Caenorhabditis elegans: one gene and its partners. The protein of the gene in region 4 interacts with the protein of the main gene of each other region in a pairwise test. Each region holds a gene or a part of one and is shown on either strand. Other genes may lie near its edges. The genes, in order: zip-2, hlh-33, nhr-239 and nhr-66.

Region 1 (3,774 bases), on a different chromosome or scaffold from region 4:
CTGACTACAAATTTACGTCTTTGTTTTTCTGGTTTTTCCGGTTGCTTGGCAACAATTGCAATCGCTTATTTGTGTTCAATAACATAAAGTCATACAAACGGAAATCGAAGAAAAATTAATGAAGAAATGTAAAATTGAATATTTATTTTTTATAATTGAATCAACCAGGAGCTTTGTCGAATGTTGATTAATTTTGGCAAGCAGCCTTTTGGATAAATGATTCATTAACTTTAAAATATAAACGAAAAAAACTGTTCCTACGTTGAGAGTACTCCGCTTTGAAAATTATGAAACTACAGTAGTTTGTGACTAGGTACATCTTGTGACATACTGTTGCACAACATTGCATCAAGAGTGGACTATATAAACTGAACTCATTTGAAGAAAATCTTTCACATTTTGTATTCTCAGTCTTCAAATGGATCATATGATTTTCTAACAAGTCGCCCTTTCGACGTCCTGTCAATGCAATGTGTGATCAAAAAGGTTAGTCAGAAATACATTTTATTGAACAGGGTAAACATTGGAAAAAAGCGAAGATTACTCAGAAAACTCCGCTTATCAATCTTCAATTCTTATCAAATGACGTTATGAAGAATTGAAGCAAAAGTCCAATGTGCGATTGTTTAAATGGAATGTATATGTTCTATGAAGTTGTTATTATACCTATGTGTTAAATTCAAATATCGAAAATAAGCAAATGTTAATAAATTTGCTCATAGAACGCACAAGTAATGAGTTCACACCATATCTTGTCTGTATATAAAAATTCACAATGTATTTGAATAAATTATGTCGTACTTGATAAGTAGTGACGTCGGTTGTGATATAAATGCTTGATTAATTTTTGTTTGAATCACAATAATAGTTATTTTTCATACATTTCTCTGGGACGGTACGGGAACAATTTTTTACATGTACTTCAGGTATTTTTGAGAAGCTAACAATTTTCCATATCTAATTGGAAATCAATCATCATCAATTGTGACCTCCTGCAATCCAGTTTTTGTTCAATTAGAGATGCTTCATGAATTTTGTCAATGTGAATCAGAATACTTTCATACTATTTATACTTTTGTACCGATGATCACCATCTGAGTAACCCAACGATGGGTCAGAATGTGTGTTTCAGTTCCTTGATCTTTTGGTTGTGGTCTGAATCAACACATATTCCTCTCCACACTTCGTTCACATTGTTGGTCGGCTGTGTCGGTCGGCGCACGCTCACTGTCCTATTCAAACACACTCTGCCATCCCTAATCCTCTTGCGACACACAGTGTCTTGTCGACCCCCGTCGTCTGTCTCCGACTGGGTGACATCATGTGAAATCTTGCCAAATGTTGTGCAATAGTGGGTGGAGCGTCCGCTCTAACGTGGTTTTTGGGTTTTCTCTGCCTCATTCTTTCGTTTTGACAAATTGTCCATTGGTGACTTTTTGTTTTTTTTTTCTATTTTGCTTACGGGAATCGATTGTTTTGACATGCTTTTGCCTAAACGGTGGTATTTTTCAGCAAGGGACCAGTTTCAAGGTCCCACGACCGCCACCGTCCGCGGAGCAATCAAAACGTCCATCAGTTCGCTTTCATCGCCTTCTCCAGGTTTGTCATATACAAATAATAATTACCTTTTTAAATCATTATCTTATGACGATGACGTGGCGATCACCAATATAAAAAATCAATACAATTCAAATTAAAACGAATAAAATCGATAATTAATATATTTCAGAAAAGTTTTCCCCACCTAGCTAGAAGCTAGCTCGTTTGTCACTAGATTTCGACGGCCTTCCCGAAGATTTCTTTTCTCCACAATGTATCACGCAAAGACAACCACCGATTTTAACATGTTCAGTCAACAGTGTTGCTTCATGGACGAGGCCAAGTATGGAGCCGGTTAGTTTTTCATAATTGGACGAATATTTTATTTTTACAAATAATTGTTCAGCTATCGGCTCCACTAGCCGTCGGGTTTTCGGCTTGGCCTCCGTCGCCGCCACTTCCGCCGTTGGCCCACTCACCGCTCCAGGATGCAGTCCACGCCGACCACAACCATCGTCGGATCCTCAACTCTTGCAGAAACCTGCCGGATTGCCTGACGACTACAGTTCCTCAGCTTCACCAGATCAATTCTGCCGAGCAATCTCCACTACAGTTCACGCATCAACCAAATTGCGATTTAATTGTGGTTCTCGACGAGCAAACGACCTACACGACTACAATGACACGACGTTCCCTACCGAAAGCGGACCGTTATTTGAGCGGTTAGTTGGCGAATTTGAGCGAATTTGAATCATAATTTGAATAATAAAATTTTCAGAGCCCAACATGAGCACGCCACAAGCTTCCCACGGGAGCTTTGAATTTGATGTACCAGAGTACACATCCTTCGACTATGCATTCGATTTCCCACCGGTTCCAGAAGCCTTCCCACCAGCCGCCAATAGTTCCTCGGCTGCATCTCCAGATGCAGATTTTCTTGATCTGGATTCTCTCATGAGCTGTGATATCACATCTCTTGACGCCTACATTCATGATGATTCCATTGCCTCTCCTTCTAACGCTTCACACATTTCTCCTCCAGCGTCGGACATTGATCCAGTTGACGAGTTCTTTCCACAGCTTGTGCACAATAATAAAAGTAAGCTTAAGACAGTATCACACTAATTAGGAAAATCCACGTCATCGTCTGAACCCATTTATATATTCTTTAACTCAGCTCTTTGTTCAATTTAAACATTAAAAACCATTTCAGTTCAATCATCTTCCTCCTCAACAGTTGAAACGACAATAACACGTGGGCGCAAAACTTCATCGGTATCGTCCGATTCGTCATCGGACTACCGTCATAAACGGGATAAGAACAATCTAGCATCCCAAAAATCTCGTCAAAAGCGCCAAGCCAAAATTCGCGAATCAAAGGAGGAAAGAGAGCGTCTAGAGAAGCGAAAAGTTCAACTTCAAGCAATGGTTTTAACCTTGGAGACTCAAGTCGAGGACTACAAGCGATTGGTCATGATGTTTGTAAAGCGATAAATATATTAATCAGATCGCGTTTTTTTCTCATTTTATTGTGTGTGTACATAAATTCAAATTTAATTTTATTTTGTTCTCGTTTTTTTCCTCATTACTTATCCCTTATCCCTTATTCACCAACCTCATTTTATCTCATCTCATCTCAATAGCAAATAGTATTTATATTCCTTTTCATTAATCAAAATAAAGTAGAAAAATAGAAATAATTAATCATAATCATCAGGAATATTAAGGAAAGTTCCAATAGAGGGAAAGTGAATAGCACTAAACCCATCAGTACCTCCAACTCCAGCAGCTGGCACGGCCCAATGTGCACCATAAGCGATTTGGCCCTGGAGCCAATCCACGTTCACGGATTCCGGGTGATAATAGTATTTGTTAGCATGATCGCGATTATGTGGGTCATCTGGATTCGGCTCCCAGAGCCCTGGTTTAGTGAATGGTGATCTACTACGAGGGCGATGCAGGATTCCTCGAGAGTCGGTTAAAGAGTTGTATTGATCTAATGCATTGGAGAACACACTGTCCGAAAATACTGGAACTGCTGCACCACCTGTAGTTTTTTTCACGCGTGGAAGATTGGGAGCTGATTGATCGGCATCTTTTAGAACTTGATCTCTGAAAGAAGATTTGCGACTTGGTTAGAAATAAATATAACATTTTCATTATTTCTTAAAGCAATTTATAGAGTCTAACCTGTGAGTTTAAGAACCTAATCATATGAGTTTGTCTAAGAGACAA
Region 2 (6,375 bases), on a different chromosome or scaffold from region 4:
CGGTTTTCATTCAAAACTGTAAATTTTCGATCAATAATATGAATTCTACGTCTCTTTTCACTCCGGAAACCCAATTTCCAAAGCTCAGCTACCAAATCCTGAGAAGCTGTGCATTTTGTCGTAGGAGCTGCGGCGGTGTTTGCGTACTTTTGGCGCTACCGTACTCAGAGAAAATCAAAAGTTGAGCTAGAGACTCGGCAAAAAATGTGAATAGTGGGAAATTATGCGAGGATTTCGTTTTTGAAGTTGGTTTTCCAAAAAAAAAATTGATTTTTCGGAAAAAAATTTTCCAAAAAAAAAATTTTTTTTTTACAAAATATTGTTTTCCCCGCCGGGGTAACCAGAAATGAAAGCCGTAGAGGGAGAAAAATGAAGAAAGTGACCTTGAAAGTCCCTTTCTGCCATACAAAAAACGCTCCCCTAACCAGCTGCCCCCACACACACAACTTATTCCGAGGCACACGAGAGAGTACACACAATCAAAGAGACGCAGAAATGCGGCAATTTCGAGTGTTGGGGGCGATGAAGACGGCGGAGACCATTCATTTTTGCCATCTGATCACTTTTCCGATTTTTTCTAAATTTTTTTTTTTGACAAAAGTTTTATACAACTCGGTAAATAATTTTTGTACGTAGGCTTACTTTGAGGTCTTATAACTTTGGACTCAAATGAACTGTCAAATTTTAAAGTAAATTGCCTGAAAGATAAAGTTTTAACGCAAATTTTGGTAAAATTTCACCAAAATTCATTTGGTAGTTTTTGAGAAATTTAGGTTTTAATTGAGAAAATAAAAATGTTGAAAATTTTTTTTTTTAATTTTTAAATTTTTTTTTTTTGCATTTTCCAAAAGTTTAAATCAAAAATTTGATATTTTCTGAAAGAAAAATAAAAATATATTTAACGCTAATTCTGACAAAATGTCAAGCAATTTGCACAATTATTCTTTGAGATACTACAGTTTTACCGAAGAAATTTCATTTTTCAGTAAATTTTTCAAAAATTTAAAATTTAAATGGGTTTTCTGAAACTTTAGGGCAATAACACATTTTTTACAATAAAATTTTTTTAAAAAAACAATGAAAAGTACATATTTGTCAAGTTAGAAAATTTGAATTTTCACCAAAATTTTTTTTTAAACTTTTTTGAAATTTTTTTTTAATCCTTGAAAAAAATTTAAAAAGTTCAAAAAAATGTCTTTTCATCAGAAAATTTAATTTTTATTACAATTTGGTTATGTATATACTTTTATTAATATAAATTTATTGATATCCTCAACAGATATATGCTTTCAAAGGTTGAACTGGACATGGTGCATCGATCAAAAACTTGGACAGCTTATATCTCAGTTGTCATTGTTTTTATCAAAAAATCGATAACTAATAAAATGTTCATTATGAACTTCTCTATAACTTTGTAGTTGAGCACTTTTCCATATCTCCAAAATTAACAGAGATACTAGCCGTCAAAGTTAGAGTTAGACATGTTGCATCGACCTTTCCTAACTTTGACAGCCCATAACTCGGTTAATATTGAGCCAAAGGTTGTAAACTGACAAAATGTTCATCATGTTTTTCTCTATAACTTTGTTGTTTAACATTTCTCCCTACCTTTAATATTAACCGAGATATAAGCTTTTAAAATTTAATAGTACATTTTTCAGAATGTCCGACTCCCCGCAGAGCTGCAAAAAGCCGCGAACTCGGAAAGAAACTATTCAAAAGCGAGAAACACGAAGTAAGCATGAAAAACGACGAAGGGAAGAGATGAATGAAGTGATTTGTGAAATGTCGACACTTTTGCCCGAAGATATTCGGGCTCATAAGCTGCGAAGAGTGGATCAGAAGCCTCGTCAGCTGGACAAATGCTTTATCATTGGGAGTACTGTTGATATTATTCGGAATAGTGATTATAGTGAGTCTACAGATTCAAATTAGTAATAATATTCTAATTTGGAATTTTTTTTTAATTTTGAAAAAATTTGGAAAAAAATTTGAAAAAAAATTTCGAAAATTTTTTCTTTTTTTTTTGCAAATTTTTTTCCTAAATTTTCGATTTTCAAAGCTTTTTTCTTTGTTTTTTACTCTAAAACTCGGTAAAACAACTCTATTTCCTCCCGAGAAAAATATAAATTCAACCTATTACAGTAACCCTGATCCGTTTCGTGGCGGGACCCAAAATTTCAAATTACCTTCAAACCAAGGCATGTTGGGTGTCATTTTAAAGCAATCATTGAGCTAAACTCAAATTTGAAAGCCATTAAGCTGAAAATCTCGAAATTTTCGGAATTTTCAGTCAATTTCAATTTCCTCCATTTTCCAGAACCACCGCTGCTCTCCGACCCGCTCGTCCAGGATATTTTCAGCCTGACCAACTGTTTTATGGTTTTTCTGAACAATTTTATTGTCGTGGATATTAAGGGAGACCATCAGGCAGTTTTTGATATTGAAAAAGTTTGTTTTATTGATTTTTTTTCGATTTAAAAAAAAATTCAAAAAGCCATTAAATGGGCAGAGTTACAGGCCTCTGAAAATAATTGTTAGGCTTAGGTGTAGGCTTAGGCGTAGGCTTAGGCTTAGGCTTCAAACATTTTTTTGGGATTAGGCTTAGGCTCAGGCTTAGGCTTAGGCTTAGGCTTAAGCGTAGGCTTAGGCTTAGGTTTAGGATTAGGCCTAGGCTTAGGCTTGGGCTTAGGCATAGGCTTATTAGAAAAAATGGGAAAAAAAATTCTCAAAACATTTTTTTTGGAATTTAATTTTGTAAAATTTTCCAAATTTTGTCCCAGACGGGCGTGACAATCAAATGCACACTTTTTTAGTTGACAACTTTTTGCTAACCCTTAAATGGTAGCAACCTTTAAGCTTCAGTAACTCCGCCCATTTATTGGCTATCAAAAAATTTTCAACCGACAAAAGCTTCACCATGAAAAAAAATCTGCAAATTTTTTCAGTTGACAATTTTTTTCTAGCTTTTCTAGATTTGAAGATATTTGAGTTTATTTTTTTGAAAAAAAAAAATCCCAAAATTTTTTTTGTGGGATTTCATCTTTTTATAATTTTTAATTTTCCAAATTTTTTCCCATACAGGCGTCCCCAATTAAATGTTCCTTGTAAACAAAATGTCGTCATATTTTCGGGGAAATATTATCAAGGTCACTTTTTCCCAAAAAAAATTCGATTTTTTCGGACTGTGTGTCAGCTGACTTGTTTCAAGGTGAACTGGTGGTGGACCGGGGGTGGGGGGGGGGGGATTTGGTGAATCATTGGGATTTTTTCGGTTGGAAAATGTTTTATAACATTTTAGATAGTATAAAAATTTAGAAAGTTTTCGAAAAAAGTTTCAAAAAAAATTTTTTTTTTTGGACTTTTTCTGAAAAATTTTTTTTTTTTTGTTAAACTAAATTTTTTTAAAGTTAGAAATTCTAGAAATAAGTTGTAAACTAACAATTTTTGTCAAAATTTTTGCAAAAGATTTGAATTTTTCGCTAGTTGATAACTTTTTAGTAACCATTAAATGGGCGTAGCTGCTGCCTTCCGTAACTCCGCCCATTTCATGGTTATCAAAAAGTTTTCAACTAACAAAATGTTCATTTTGAAATTCTACACACTTTTTTAGTTAACAACTTTTTAATAGCTGTTTTAGTTTTTGAGATATTTAAAAAAGAAAAAAAAATTTTTTAATGAAATTTTTTTTTTCAGAAACGTATGATTGGAAAAGATATCCGATGTTTTCTGGACTACGATTCAACGTCCAAACTGTCATTTCTCACTTCCAAAGAAATGCTCAATGAGCTCCAACTCAAAAGCTTCATGGCGAAGTCAATGACGTGCAGAATAAAGGAATCGGCGGAGGTTTGGGATTAAAATGTTTTTTTCAATTCGAACAATTCGAAAAATTTAGCTTTAAAACTAATTTATTTGAATTTGGCGTGTAAATAGCTTTTGAATGACACCCATCATGCCTAGGTTCCCGCAATTTTGGGGGAATTTTCCGGGTCCCGCCACGAAAACTGGCAGGGTTACTGTAGTTTTGAATGAAACTAACTTTTTCAATTTTTTTCAAAAAAGTGTGATCACTGAGCTAACTTTGAAGAAAAAAATTAAGAAAAAATAGTGAAAACTAAGAAAGTTACAGATTTTCGAAAATTTGTGAAAAAAAATTTTTTTAAACAAAATTTTTTACCAAAAAAAACTTATTTTGTCAATTTTTTTTTAGCTGAGAATCACAATTTTACTCTCAGCAACCCAGAAAACCTGCAAAACCTGGTAAAACCAGTAAAAACAACCAAACTACAGTAACCCAGAAAGTTTTCGCGGCGGGACCCGAAATTTTAATCATTCACGGAATATAGGCATGATGGGCCTTATTTTGAAGCTCTGGACGTGCTTAATTTGAAAATGTACGAGTTTTGGCTCAAAATCGTGATTTTAACCAAAAAAATTAGTTGTTAAAAAATTGAAAAAATTTTTTTTTCCAAAATTTCAAAAATTCCTAGAAATTTTTAAAAATCAAAATTTTTCCAGAAACCCACGGAAACAGTTTTAGTCTGTGTGCCTGATGAGCTTCCAGCTCTCCCGGTTACTGTACCCAAGGCTCCGCCCATTTTAGCTTCGCCCCTTCAGAAGACACCGCCCCCGCCGTCGAGTTTGGAGGTGAAAAGCCCGATTTTGGCGGCACTTTTGAGGCGAAAAGAGGATAATTGTGTGAAAGTGGTAAGTTATTAATAAGAATTAATAGTTTGGCGGGAAATTTCAAACTTTTTGAGAAAAAAAAAATTGAAATTTTTTTTTTCGGAACTTTTTTTTCTAAAAAATTATTTAACACTATTTGTTGAATTCCAGAGCTCCCCAAGCTCCTTCCTCTCGCCGGGCTCCTCCACCTCGTCTACAGTACCCAATGTGAAACCTACAGTAACCCGCCGACCTACAGTACCCACAAAACGGAAGAGACTACGATCGATGAATGTTATAGTGGAAAGTTATCCGTTGGATGATGAGAAGTCGGATGGAAATTCACAAAAATCGGCGAAAATTGGGAAAAAGAGGTTTTTTCTAACAAAAAAAAACGTTAAAACCTACAGTAATCTACTCCAAAATCCATGCGAGACCCTTAAAACTGAAAATTTCAAATTTAGCTCAACAAGACCTTTCAAATGACCCCCATCATGCCCGGGTTCAAATTTTCACAAATTTATTCAAAAGTTGGGTCCCGTCACGTGGGGTACTGTAGCACTGGTTTCAGCTGTGTCAGTGACATAATTTCGGAGTTTTTCCGAAGCTCTAAGCGTGCGAAAGTTAAAAATGTTAATAAAATTCTTAACATGTAAGATTTTATTGATTTTTTCAAAAAAAAAAAATTTTCTAATTTTTCTGAAAAAACTTGCAAAACTATGTAAATTTTCAGCCAAACTAGCACTATTCCAACTCCGAGAAGCACTTTGAGCCCAACTACAGTAATCCATCCGTCCACGTCACTAATTCAACCGATTCCGACACTTGGAATGAACCCATTTGACATGTTATCACCTGGTTATCAAGATGTATGTGAAAATTATCGATTTTTAATGGTAAAATCAATAAATCATCGCTAAAAACTAGTTTTTATCAATAGAGCGCACTTGCAACACGGTTTTAATTCAAATTATCGACTTTTCAACTACAGCTACTATCAATTTTCCAGATTTGGCTCCGACTACAAAGTGAGCGACTTCTGCTGGAAAAACGAATTTCAGCGAAAGAAGGGGAGCTGAAAAACCTGATGCAATTCGTTCAAAACCCCCCGTTTTTGAATTTCCCCCAATATATGCTCCCGCAAGGGCCACTTGGTGCTCAAAATCAATAGTTATGGGTTTAAATGAATAAAATAAATATTTATTTACAAAATTTGATTATTATCGACGGGAATTTGTTTAAAATACTGCAAAATATACTGGGAAATTTCCGGAAAAATCATTTCGAAGTTAATTATCATTTGAAAAACCGCCGAAAACTGTGAATGCGCAAGGAGAGGTTGCTGGCGCATTTCTCTTGTTGCTTGCGCACTCTGCGATGAAATTAATTTATTTTATTTTTTCATCATTTTCGTTGGGTTTTCATCATTTTTCAGCGATTTTTTTGCAATTTTTTTCAAAATTCCCATCAAATCTATAGTTTTTCTCACAGGAAATGGACTCGGCCGACCCTCAACTCAATCGATTCCTCCAGCAACTGCAGGCGGAGACGCAGCGTCAAAAATTCACCGAACAAGTGCACACGCTCACCGGTCGCTGCTGGGATGTGTGCTTCGCCGACTACCGTCCGCCAAGCAAGATGGACGGCAAGACTCAGACCTGTATTCAGGTAAAAATTTGGGAAAATTTGGCAATTTTCTGCAATTTT
Region 3 (7,000 bases), on a different chromosome or scaffold from region 4:
ATAGGGATACTGTAGGGAACTGTATGGGTACTGTAGGGGTACTGTAGTTTACTGTAGGATATTGAACAAAATTTTAAATTCGAAAAAAAAATTTTTTTTGATCGATGCACCATAACTTTTGTTGTGAGCCGAAATTAATGTGCACATACTACCAAAAAATCCAATTAACTCTTAATAATCTGCTGAAAGCCTTAAAATCCTTAAAACCTAACTTGAAATAATTACAGGGATGGACTGAAACATTTCGCGACGCTTTTGGTTCGGTGACGTCACGTATGGTACCTTCTAGGTCGGCACAACGACTTTGAATTCTTCATTTTTCTTCGGTTCTTTAATTTTCTGTATTTTTGATGGATTTTTCTCATATTTTTTTCTCTCATACTCTGTTCTGCTCATCCCAAATATGCTTTCAAACCAAAAGTTTACCCCGGCCCCTCACTTGGCAATATTCTTCAATCCACCGATACATTTTTACTTGTACAATCCCTCTTTCTGTGTAGCTTTTTCAACATCTGTGACAATTTTTTTTTGTTTTGTAGAATTTGATTTCTTTGAAAAAAGGTTTTTCTGATAAAAATGGAGTTTTATAACAAGTTTGGTGGAATGAACATGGTGCATCGATAGGTCGCGAAAATTGTTTGGCAGGAAGCTAGGCAGGCAGGCAGGCAGGTAAGTGAGCAGGTAGGCAGGCGGATAGCCATGTAGGTATGTAGGTACACCAATAGGTATGTAGGTAGGTAACCAGGCTGGTATGCAGGCATGCAGATAGGAAGGCCGATAGGTATGTAGGTAGGTAGCCAAATTGGTAGACAGGCATGAAGGCAGAAGACAGGTATTCAGTTAGGTAGGTAGGCCGGTAGGTATGTAGATAGGCAGCCAGGCTGGTAGGCAGGCATACAGGCAGATAGGTGTTTAGGTGGGCAGGAACGCCTATAGGCATTTAGGTAGGTAGGATGGCCGATAGGTATGTAGGTAGGTAACCAAGCTGGTACACAGGCATGCAGGCAGATAGGTATTAAGGTAGGCAGGTAGGCCGATAGGTATGTAGGTAGGTAACCAGGCTGGCAGGCAGGGGTCATACTGATAGGTAGGTAGGAACGCCGATATGTATGTAGGCATGCAGGCAGATAGGCATTTAGGTAGGTAGGTAGACAGGCTGGTAAGCAAACTAATAGTTGTTCAGTGAGATATTTAAAGTTTTCAATAGAAAATTTTAAAAAAATTAATTTGAATTTCTTTTTGCAAATTTTTTTTCTAAATTTTTTTCATAATTTTTTGCCTGTTTTTGCCCTTTTTTGCCCCAGCCAATTTCAGCTTCAAAATAGCAAATTCTTTCCGATTTTCCATAGAAAATCTATTCGATCAGAGTGTCGGTTGCTCAAAAATTCAATAAATAATTAATGCGCCCCGACTTATGATGAAGTAAGCTTCTTCTAACCTTGTGATTTTGGGAAAGGTGGGGGACTATTCTCATATTTCAACTAGTACTACTACTACCATCTGACACCGAATACCTTTCCAATTAGTGATTCTCAGGTGGTATAAATTGGCGAGCTGCAATACGGAGATATGCCTTTTATTTTTCGGTTTCCGGTGATTTTGCTAATTTTTCGATGGGTAAGTGAGAATTTTCTCGGTTTTTGTAATTATTCTGCAAAATTTGAATAAAAATTGGCCGCGCTACGTAGGCCAATAGTTCGTTGGGGCGCGTTTGCAGCAGTTCTTCGAATTTTTTAGTTTTTTACGAAAAACTCGTTAACTACAGTTTGAATTTGTTTCTTTCACAAAAACATTAATGGAATTTCCGCAAGCGGCAAACGATTTTTTCCGGCAAACCGGCAAATCGGCAAATTGCCGGAATTGAAAATTAATGGCAAATCGGCAAATTGCCGGAAATTAAAATTTCCGGCAAATCGGCAAACCGGCAAATTGATTTGCCGAATTTGCCGGAAAAATGGCAAATCGACAAATTGCCGGAATTGAAAATTTCCAGCAAATCGGAAAATTGCCGGAAAAACGGCAATTGCCAAAAATTTTCCGAAAATGTGAGGTCACACGAATTTCACAGCGCGCGCTCAAATTGGCGCAATTTCTGTAGATCAAATATCGTTTTCAGGCCGAAAAGACACGGCAGCCGTGAACTGTGAGATTTGTGGAGACAAGTCTTACGGTAGACACTATGGAGTATGGGCATGTGATGGATGCAGTTGCTTTTTCAAGAGAAGTGTACGCAAGAATATTATCTATACTTGTATTGGTTAGCTTTCAGGCCGGAAATTTATATTATCTGAAATTATATTTCAGCGGGAAATTGGAAGTGCGTCGTGGATAAAGGCCGAAGGAATTGGTGCCCGGCGTGTCGGCTTGCAAAATGCACAAGGTTGAAGATGAATAGACTCGGTGAGTAATAGGCTCAGGCCTAGGTGTAGGCCTAGGTGTGGGCCCAGGCATAGGCTTAGGATTAGACATGGGCCTAGGCTTAGACTTGGGCTTAGTCTTAGGCTTAGTCTTAGACTGAGGCCTAGGCTTAGGCTTAGGTGTAGGCCTAGGAGTAGGATTAGACTTTGAATCAGGAATAGTACTAGGCTTATTCGTGGGCTTAGGCTTAGGCTCAGTCTCTGGCTTAGGTTTAGGACTTGGCTTGGGCATAAGGTTATGCTTAGGCTCAGGCTTATGATTAGGCTTTGAATTAGTCTTAGGCGTAGGATTAGGCTTCGGCTCAGTCTTTGGCTCAAGCGTAGGATTAGGCTTTGGCTCAAGTCTCTCTTCTCTCTCTCTCTCCCTTTCCTAGAGTTTCAAACATTTCCGAGTCAAAAATAATATCAAGTTGCGACCCGATTTATGAATTCACAAAAATAACTTGAAATAGTCTAATATGTACACGATGAAAATTTAAATATACTAATAAAAAATATGGCGAAATTATTTGACATGAAAATTATCTTCTTATCCATCACTCCAGCGTGATTGTATCGTCGTGGCAGCTGCGTGCCTCCTCCTGGAACAGCTCCAGAGTTTCCGAGAAGCCGTCCTCCTCGTACTCCTCCGGCTCTGGCACAGACAGCTTCCGCGATCTTCTCGGCACCACGAACGTCCTCTGAAGGATCCTTGAGAGTTCCGGCTCCACGAGCTCAGCACCAGTGTCCTCAGAATCTCCGAGAGTTCCAGAGCTTCCGGAAGCGTTGTCGTCGGGAACTGTGAGCTCCATCTGAGAATGGTCATCTTCTGCTGGAGCGAGCATCTTCATAGTCCGGTCGAGCTCCTCCTCGGTGATTTGTGCTCCGGCTCCTTCTGGCTTTGCAGCTTCCTTGGCGAGAGCAGCAGCTCGGCGACACAACGCCATCATCGAATGACTGGCCAACTTCGGTGGGAATCGCATTTTCATCACTTGCTGACAGTCGGCTTCGCTTTGCAACGTCTCCAGAAGTTTGTCAAAGAGATTCCAGAATTTGTACGTCTCGGCGAGCTGGAGACGAAGCGAGAAATCCATTGACTCATCGAGTGAGAGCCAATTTTCGCAGCGAGCCATCACAAAATCCACGCCAAACCGTGCAGAAACCGTCAGAAGCGACTCCACATTCTGTGCTGTGATTTGATCCGTGTTGTGGTACATGAATTCGAGGAATTTGAGGAAATCCTCGGAAGAGACGTCCTGAATTGTGATCTCTGGATCTCCCGGGGTGGCGAACAGAGACTGGAAGACCCGCGAATGTGTGGCGAGATACTGAAAATAGTGAATTATTACACAAAAATTTTAGTAGTTTTCACAAACCTGCTTCCCCACGTGGAACTTCCGCTCCTCCACCACCACGATTGCGTCGAACACGAGCTCCTTTGGCATCGAGAAGTCCATTCCAGCCATTGTCTCGTTAGAACTGCTGGCGGTGCTGAAAAATCGAGTTTTACTTTGAAAATCCAAGAAAAATAGGCAGAAAATCGGCAAAAAATGAAGAAAAATCGAGTTTTACATTGAAAAAAAATGGCCAAAAATCGGAGAAAAATGGGCAAAAAACGGAGAGAATTGATGACAAATCAAAGAAAATGGAAAAAAAGAAGAAAATTCTGGAAGTGCAATGAAGCGCAATTCCCGCCGGTGTTTGCGTATTCTGCGCAATTTTCGTTTGACCTACGTAGGTCAAATCGAAAAGGGGCACTCTGACACCACCGGAAAACCCGATAAATTTCGGGAAACCGATAAATTTTTAGAAAAATCGAAAAATTACTGGAAAACCAATTGATTTCCAGAAAAATCAATAAATTTGCAAAAAAAAAATTGAGAAAATCGGAGAATTTTTTTTCCGTAAATTTATCGATTTTTTGGTTAATGTATACACTCAAAATAATAAAACTGCGTGGCGTGTACTGCAGAAAACCTCATATTTAGGCCCCGCCTTTTTCTCGTCCACTCACGGAGAAAAGGCAAAAATTTGGGGACCAACCAATATCAGGCCGCCGACATCCTACGGGTTCCGCGCGCCGCTATGTTTAACTCGCTGTGGGCGTGGTGCTGTCTCCGCCCGCTGCGAGTTAAACAAAGTTTTCACAAACCTGCTTCCCCACGTGGAACTTCCGCTCCTCCACCACCACGATTGCGTCGAACACGAGCTCCTTTGGCATCGAGAAGTCCATTCCAGCCATTGTCTCGTTAGAACTGCTGGCGGTGCTGAAAAATCGAGTTTTACTTTGAAAATCCAAGAAAAATAGGCAGAAAATCGGCAAAAAATGAAGAAAAATCGAGTTTTACATTGAAAAAAAATGGCCAAAAATCGGAGAAAAATGGGCAAAAAACGGAGAGAATTGATGACAAATCAAAGAAAATGGAAAAAAAGAAGAAAATTCTGGAAGTGCAATGAAGCGCAATTCCCGCCGGTGTTTGCGTATTCTGCGCAATTTTCGTTTGACCTACGTAGGTCAAATCGACGCCCGCTGCGAGTTAAACAAAGCGGCGCGCGGAACCCGTAGGATGTCGGCGGCCTGATATTGGTTGGTCCCCAAATTTTTGCCTTTTCTCCGTGAGTGGACGAGAAAAAGGCGGGGCCTAAATATGAGGTTTTCTGCAGTACACGCCACGCAGTTTTATTATTTTGAGTGTACGAAGCTGTAATGAAAAGAACCTTACATATATCTACAGAATTGAGACTCTTCGCACCAACGCCCCTGGGTAATATTAATTTAAAAATTGAACAGAATGTGTTGTCAATTTACGTTTTTAAATAGTGTTTTCTTTTTGCTTAACTGATATATCAAGTTCAATTCAGCTGTCCAAACTGAACGAGGACCTCGGAGGCTTCGATGCCTGCAGCTGAAACATACCAATAACCCCATCTCTTTCAAATGTAAGTCTATACTCGGGTAATTCATCAAAACTTATACACCAACTTAGCCTTGCATAGCCTTCTTTCTTCTAAGTTTGACTATTACAAAATTCTGAGAATGCGTATTGTGCAACATATTTGACGCGCAAAATATCTCATAGCGAAAACTACAGTAACTCTTTAAATGACTACTGTAAAGCTTGTGTCGATTTACGAAAATCATTTTTGATCGATAAAATATTAAAAATTAATAGTAAGCAAAAAAATGAACAAAATAATACGAAAAATCGAAGAAAAATGGAATATCGCTGTCACTTTTGGAAAATAAATTCATTTCGAAAGTAATTAAAAGAGATACTGTAGTTTTCGCTACGAGATATTTTGCGCGTCAAATATGTTGTGCAATACGCATTCTCTGAATTTAGTGTTCACGTAATACTTTGGACAACTTTATCCAACTTTTTTCAATCAAATTTAGCAACTTCTACGCTTGGCATTTCTAAAATTGCTAAAGTTGGTGGATAAGTTGTAGATTTCTTCTCTTATTCTCAGGTTTTTTTTTCCATTTCCAGATGACTCGATATTCTCGAAATCCGTAATCCTTACATCAAAATGCTTATTGCTAAACTTCATGTCCCAACAGGAACGTCGAGAAGTTGTTGAAGAAAACTGCCAAATCATATTTGCCCTATTGATATTGGCCAGTGGAGATGAGGCAGTACTAAGCAGGTTTCCAGTAAGTTTTTGGGTCTCACAGCGAATATTACCGTAACCCATTTAAGCCGCCAAAACCTATCCCGCAAAAAGTGCATTGTGACCCAGAACAACTACGGCTGACTATCTGCATACTTCTCTCCCAATCCAGTAAGTTTCAGATCCCCTTTTATTTATGCTAGATCTAGCTAGATATTAATTTTCCAGCCAGTCCCCTTCTGAAATTCGCTGCACCTTTGGAAAACTTTTATAAATGTTGTCTATGGCGGTACTCCTTCACAAATGACTCTATCGAGACAGCTACACAACTAATCAATACAGTTACGTGGCTCTATGAAAACGGACCATGGGAGATGTCAAGTTTGCTCCGAAGCTCCATGAGCAGTCTTATTACTGAAGTCTTTGAATCAGATAATGTTGAATTGTTTTGATTTTCAATTGATGGATGAATAAATGTTTTAATGAATTTACCGGTTTGCAATTTGCCGATTTGCCGGAAAACTTAATTCCGGCAATTTACCGGTTTGCCGGAAATTTTCAATTTCTGCAATTTGCCAATTTGCCGGAAATTTTCATTTCCGGCAATTTGCCGATGTGCCGGTTTGCCGGAAATTTTCAGTTCCGGCAATTTGCCGGTTTGCCGATTTGTCTGAAATTTTCAATTCAGACAAGTTGTCGGTTGGAATGTTTGTCGGAAATTTTCAATTCCGGCAATTTGCCGATTTGCCGGAAATTTAAAGTTCGGCAATTTGCCGGTTTGCCGATTTGCGAGAAATCTTAATTCCGGCAATTTGTCGATTTGCCGGAAATTTTCAATTCCGGCAATTTGCCGGTTTGCCGATTTGTCTGAAATTTTCAATTTCAGCAATTTACCGGTTTGCCGGAAGTTTTCAATTCCGGCAATTTGCAGGTTGGCCGATTTGCCGGAAATTTTCGATTCATGGCAATTTGCCGATTTGCCGGAAATTTTC
Region 4 (4,792 bases):
CTTCCTATGTTTTAAATTGAAACCAATAATCAAAATGAAGGCGATAATTGATTTTTTATTTTTATTTTCCGGATTTCGAGCGAGACTCAACTCTCAAACTCAAACTCGCGTCATTAAGATAAACGAGCATCTACACTTTTGGTTGCAAAAACTGCAAAAAAATTTTTTTTTAAACTATTTCCCAATTGATAATGCTTTCAAGTACATTTAAATGAACGTCTTCAAATATCAGCAAGCAAATTACAGTAACATTTCAATTCATGTTTATTTAGTTATACCAGAAAAAGTGCACCTGCCATTTACGCACTGTTTTATGGATTGAATCCATGACTTCTAGGCAGGTAGGCATGAAGTCCGAAATCTTGCTGCTGACTTGAATGAATCCCTAAACGAAAGCTGTCAAATACTTGAAAGAACACATTTGTATTCTTTTTTAATGTGCTTCTCGGAAAATTTTGATTTTTAAATGTTTTCTGCTACACTACGAAAATTTTCATAATATTCGCTAAATTTGCACGTGTTCAGTGAGCCTAACAACGCGACATGTCTACAAATATCTAGACACGAATGTATTTCTAACATTTGAATTTTTCAACTTCTTATGAGAGAAAGTCTTATGAGAAAAATCAAACGATGAACAGCTGAAGCATAACAGAAAATAAAAACATTTTTTCATTTCGACTATAGTTATAATTATTTACCCACAATGCCTGATTTCTCGAATTTTCATATTTTTTGTTCTTCTCTAAAATCTCTAACAATAGCCAAAATGTAGTCTGTTTTAAAGTTATTATGCGAGAAGCTGTGCACATATCCCATCTCGAGCCCCTTTTGTATGCACACTGCTGAGCATCAGAACGGACGGTATGCTGCACATCCCTCGTGACTGCGTATAATATCCACCCGATTTTTGTGTGATTAGCTGCAGAATATCGTATATCGAGGCGCGTTTTCCATTTGTGGCGATAATGCACATTTTTACTGTTGAATTCTCTTTTGAGGCTCCATAAACCACAAATAATGCGACGATCGTGTATTACAAATGTTCGACAACTGTGATTTCTCTGATTTCATCTTACTGTAGAAATAATTTCAAACTTCGCGCACAAATGGATTTCACCAGAGCGCACTTGCTGTATTCTTCGGTAGCAAATTTTTTCCAGCGAAAAGCATTTCGAAAAGCCTGTAAGCTTTCGTGAAATGAGATAATTTTTCGTGAAAAACGTTTCTACAATTTTTATCAATTTATTTATTTCAACATCTTCAAAAACATGTTACGTTCTTAAAAAAATACCTTTTAAAATTTACTATTAGCGAAAAATTGCTGAAAATTTTTGTTTTCTAAGATTATTTTTGTCCCGATGGTGTCGTCGTCACAACATCTCATACATATATACAGATAAAGAATAAAAGCGAATCCATTAGATTGGCGCATTTGATTTCTCGTTCAATCCGTCCTTTTTCTGCTGATCTTTCACGTGTCTCCTGCCGGCGGCCCCGCCCATTTTCTCATACTTTCAATTTTCAAGGTCCTTTTGTCAGTTCAGTATTCTAATTTTCCTCGTTCCTCGATGGCCTTCCGGTTACCTTGCTCTTGTTACAAAGCTCTCGCGAGCAAACTTCAGCCCGCCTCTTTTTTGAGAACTCGACTTGTGCTCGCCTGCTCTCTGTTGAGCTCAATTTATTCATTATTCTGATCGCAATTTTGTTTCGAATTAATAAAATTAGAAACGTCAACTATTTTCAGATTTCTTTCAGACATCTTCTATGGAATGCCGCCAATCAATGAGCCCACAGCGACGACAACATCAGCATCGTCGGTGTGGCAAGGAATGACACAGGTTTGCATAAAAATTGAATTTTATAAAGTTTAATATCAAATTTCCTATTAATATTAAATAGAATTCTATAAAATTTTATGCTTACAATAAAAAAATTGATTTTTTAAATTGTATCGTAGTCTCTGGCACAACGCAGGTAAATCGTTGCGAGACCAAGCCTTCCTTTGAACCATTTTCTTCAACAAATTGTTTCTTTTTTGTGGTTCCCTGCGCGCACAAATTGTATTTTTTTTAGTCGAAAAACTTGTTTCTTTGAAGAATTCATGAAATTTAATAATTAATTCAATAAAATATTTTATTTTCAGTTAAAATCTCAAGTCGACTTGATCAATATCGCTCGAGGAATTCTCTCAACCCCCGCAACAACATCAACATCATGTCTTGACATCCAGAATTCGACACCGATCATCGGTTCGTTGGCCTCCGGGAAATCCCAGACGCCAATTCTCACAGCGACAATGACTCCACAAATCGGTACGGTAGATTGTTATTGTCAATCAAGAAAAATGGGGGAGAAATGCGCGGGAGAAATTGAGTCGTAGTTCGCGTAAACAATTGTTGTTTTCTCTGAAATATTAATCAATCATGCTCGTTTTAAGGACTCACTGGGCTTGGTTCGTTGACATCGTTGCCTCCAGAACTTCTACTACAGTTCGCTAGACTGGACGGATTCAACTTATTACCGTGAGTTTTTTTTTCTTTTGAAAATTCAAAATTTTGCCGAAAATAGGCAGTTTTTTGTATGGAAAAAAAATTGCAATTGGAATTCAAAAAGAAATAATCAAAAAGTTGAACCTTCCGAATTAAATTTGAATTTTGATCTTTCATTATTATCTTCGCTCAAAGTCTTGTGCTTTGATCCATATCTTTCCTCCTGCTCTGTGACTTTGTACTTTTCATCTGTCTGATTTCTGCTTGACAACGCTGGAGTGTCTGATAAATCTAATCAAGCTGAGCAGCGCTATTTTCTTAAAAAATGTGATGTTACATACAGAAGAGACATAGAGTACATTGCTAATTCATAAGTTTAGAATAAAGAAACTCAAAATCAAAGAACAAAGTCAAATAATCCTTCATAATTTTAGTTGGTTGCCCTTGTCATTGGGAGCAGACTTCTCATATATATATATAAATGTGCATGCGCGACAACGGAAATGCAAGTAAAAGAGCATTGAAACAAAGATCCGTTGTATGTTGCATGACACATGAGTAGTGGAGAGTGTGGGAGAAAGGTGCAGAGTACAGCTGACTGGCATGCTCCTGTCGTTGAAATGTGTAGAAATGAAGGGATTTCTGTGCTGCAACGTTCCAGAGATACTTGTTGTAAGAAAGCTTCATTGTAATCATCTTTTCTCGACTAGACTGAAGTTTATATGTGCACCTGAAGCAGCTCTATTTTACAATTTGCAACTCACTTTTCTATGATTTCTAAATTAGTCGATGTGATTTTTCAATTATAAGATCAACGGGAACAAGTGGTGCAACATTATATTCAAGTTTTAACGGATTTATATAGCAACTTAATCAAGCTATTATATAAAAAGTCGAACACCAAATTGTTAGGTCTTCCGTCCATCGTTTAAAGCCCGAAGTCCTTCATCCATCCCCAATTGTCCGTTCCGCCTGACCATCGAAACAGCTTTGCAGCGCTCAATGACAGCAGATGCGCTTCAAAACAAACCGATAATAGGAGGAAAATTGAAGGGGTCAGAAATAACCCGCCTTGGTAGATCGGCTCCGTTTATAATTCCTTCCAAGCTAGCCGGCTCTCCGTTATTACTTCTTTGCCTCTTCCGTATATCCGAAACAGGTGGAAACTCTCGTCTCATTACCAACTCGTCGACTTTCTCTTTACTAAAGCTTTCCTCCTCTGACCCATCTTGTGCTTAACTGCATAATTTGAAATTCCCAGACTGCATGAGAACTTTTGCGTTGATGAGTCTCGTCTCTTTTTCTGCAAGGAAAAAAACCACAGAGAACCACACACAACGAGAAAGTTCAAAGGCTCAATGTATCATTTTACGTATTTCTCCTTTCTTTTCTTTCGCTAGCGCACACTTCAACATCCAAAAGCGCCACGTGTTTGTGTTTCGGGAAAACAGAAAACTGTGTGCTATAGCAAACTCAATACCCCATCACCGGAAACTTTCCGGTTTATCATCGCTTTTTGCGGTTTTTCTTTCGTGCGCCTGCCTGCTTGCAAAATACCACAAACTCATGTGTTATCGGTGTTGGCCTACAACATTTTCTATCATCATTTCGATGTTTATATAAAGATTTTTTCAAAAAGAAATGCATAGATCAGGATCGTGTTGATTCCAAAATGGAACTAGCAGGCTTTTGTCGTACTTTAGAACCTGGCTTATTGCCAAAATATTTCTATTCAAGTTGACAGCCGTTTGCTTTCGATTATTGTTCCGATGATCCCCATTTCGCCCTATTAAATGTTCAACATCTATTTGACAAACTCTAAAGACTACAAACTACGGGCATCTAGAATAAAGACGTTATCACTTGTTCTATTGTCCAGAAACTGTCATGTGAATATCTTATAAATCTCGTTGATCTTCAGTGGAAAAGCTGAATGAGACTAGTGTGTTAGAATATTGAAGTGATCTACATTAGATTGTTAAAATCTGCTGAAAGCCTACAATTACACATTTCAAAGCAGTTGAAATTAATTTCGCCAGTTTTATTTTGAATGGTGTTCATCGTGTAATCATTCGGATCGTTAGATCAAAACGATCAATTTCAGCGAATAGTCATGATAAAATGGTGACTTAGAGTTATCAGTTTGTGTTTATACTATAAACAACCGTTTGTGCATACGCAAAAATCGACTTTCGACTGTTTTAACTTCTTGTACAAAGATCGGGTTCACGAGGTGGCCAACCGTTTGTATTTTTTCGTAGAAATGACCTACAAACTAATAAGTATTCACGGACTCTTCT

The links.
Region 1: the proteins of nhr-66 (region 4) and zip-2 interact in a two-hybrid assay, tested with the Caenorhabditis elegans proteins (one large-scale study listed by BioGRID).
Region 2: the proteins of nhr-66 (region 4) and hlh-33 interact in a two-hybrid assay, tested with the Caenorhabditis elegans proteins (one large-scale study listed by BioGRID).
Region 3: the proteins of nhr-66 (region 4) and nhr-239 interact in a two-hybrid assay, tested with the Caenorhabditis elegans proteins (one large-scale study listed by BioGRID).

What each region holds. Positions count from the first base shown.
Region 1 is NC_003281.10:832,576-836,349, forward strand, and holds zip-2 (Transcription factor zip-2), read left to right. Parts: upstream 1-1,512; 5' UTR 1,513-1,599; intron 1,600-1,729; 5' UTR 1,730-1,884; coding exon 1,885-1,893; intron 1,894-1,945; coding exon 1,946-2,261; intron 2,262-2,317; coding exon 2,318-2,638; intron 2,639-2,752; coding exon 2,753-3,033; 3' UTR 3,034-3,236; downstream 3,237-3,774. Other genes in the region: dos-3 (Delta and OSM-11-like), read right to left, coding at 3,240-3,651. UniProt on the Caenorhabditis elegans protein: Transcription factor that binds to the promoter and the enhancer regions of target genes. May act together with the bZIP transcription factor, cebp-2. Involved in responding to mitochondrial damage.
Region 2 is NC_003281.10:1,853,731-1,860,105, forward strand, and holds hlh-33 (BHLH domain-containing protein), read left to right. Parts: upstream 1-1,661; 5' UTR 1,662-1,662; coding exon 1,663-1,912; intron 1,913-2,320; coding exon 2,321-2,451; intron 2,452-3,696; coding exon 3,697-3,849; intron 3,850-4,521; coding exon 4,522-4,710; intron 4,711-4,839; coding exon 4,840-5,042; intron 5,043-5,401; coding exon 5,402-5,537; intron 5,538-5,677; coding exon 5,678-5,839; 3' UTR 5,840-5,873; downstream 5,874-6,375. Other genes in the region: ddp-1 (Mitochondrial import inner membrane translocase subunit Tim8), read left to right, coding at 6,163-6,336.
Region 3 is NC_003281.10:2,560,097-2,567,096, forward strand, and holds nhr-239 (Nuclear receptor domain-containing protein), read left to right. Parts: upstream 1-1,613; coding exon 1,614-1,617; intron 1,618-2,116; coding exon 2,117-2,257; intron 2,258-2,304; coding exon 2,305-2,400; intron 2,401-2,822; exon of another isoform or gene 2,823-2,953; coding exon of another isoform or gene 2,954-3,724; intron 3,725-3,772; coding exon of another isoform or gene 3,773-3,862; exon of another isoform or gene 3,863-3,887; intron 3,888-5,258; coding exon 5,259-5,336; intron 5,337-5,887; coding exon 5,888-6,051; intron 6,052-6,097; coding exon 6,098-6,179; intron 6,180-6,236; coding exon 6,237-6,460; 3' UTR 6,461-6,499; downstream 6,500-7,000. Other genes in the region: feh-1 (Protein Fe65 homolog), read left to right, coding at 228-308; Y54F10AM.11 (BTB domain-containing protein), read right to left, coding at 2,954-3,724, 3,773-3,862.
Region 4 is NC_003282.8:8,233,558-8,238,349, reverse strand, and holds the start of nhr-66 (Nuclear hormone receptor family member nhr-66), read left to right. Parts: upstream 1-1,767; 5' UTR 1,768-1,772; coding exon 1,773-1,841; intron 1,842-2,146; coding exon 2,147-2,315; intron 2,316-2,440; coding exon 2,441-2,525; intron 2,526-3,335; exon of another isoform or gene 3,336-4,792. UniProt on the Caenorhabditis elegans protein: Transcription factor. Binds to regulatory elements and regulates transcription of target genes, including the potassium channel accessory subunit mps-2. Negatively regulates transcription of mps-2, thereby modulating age-dependent memory decline.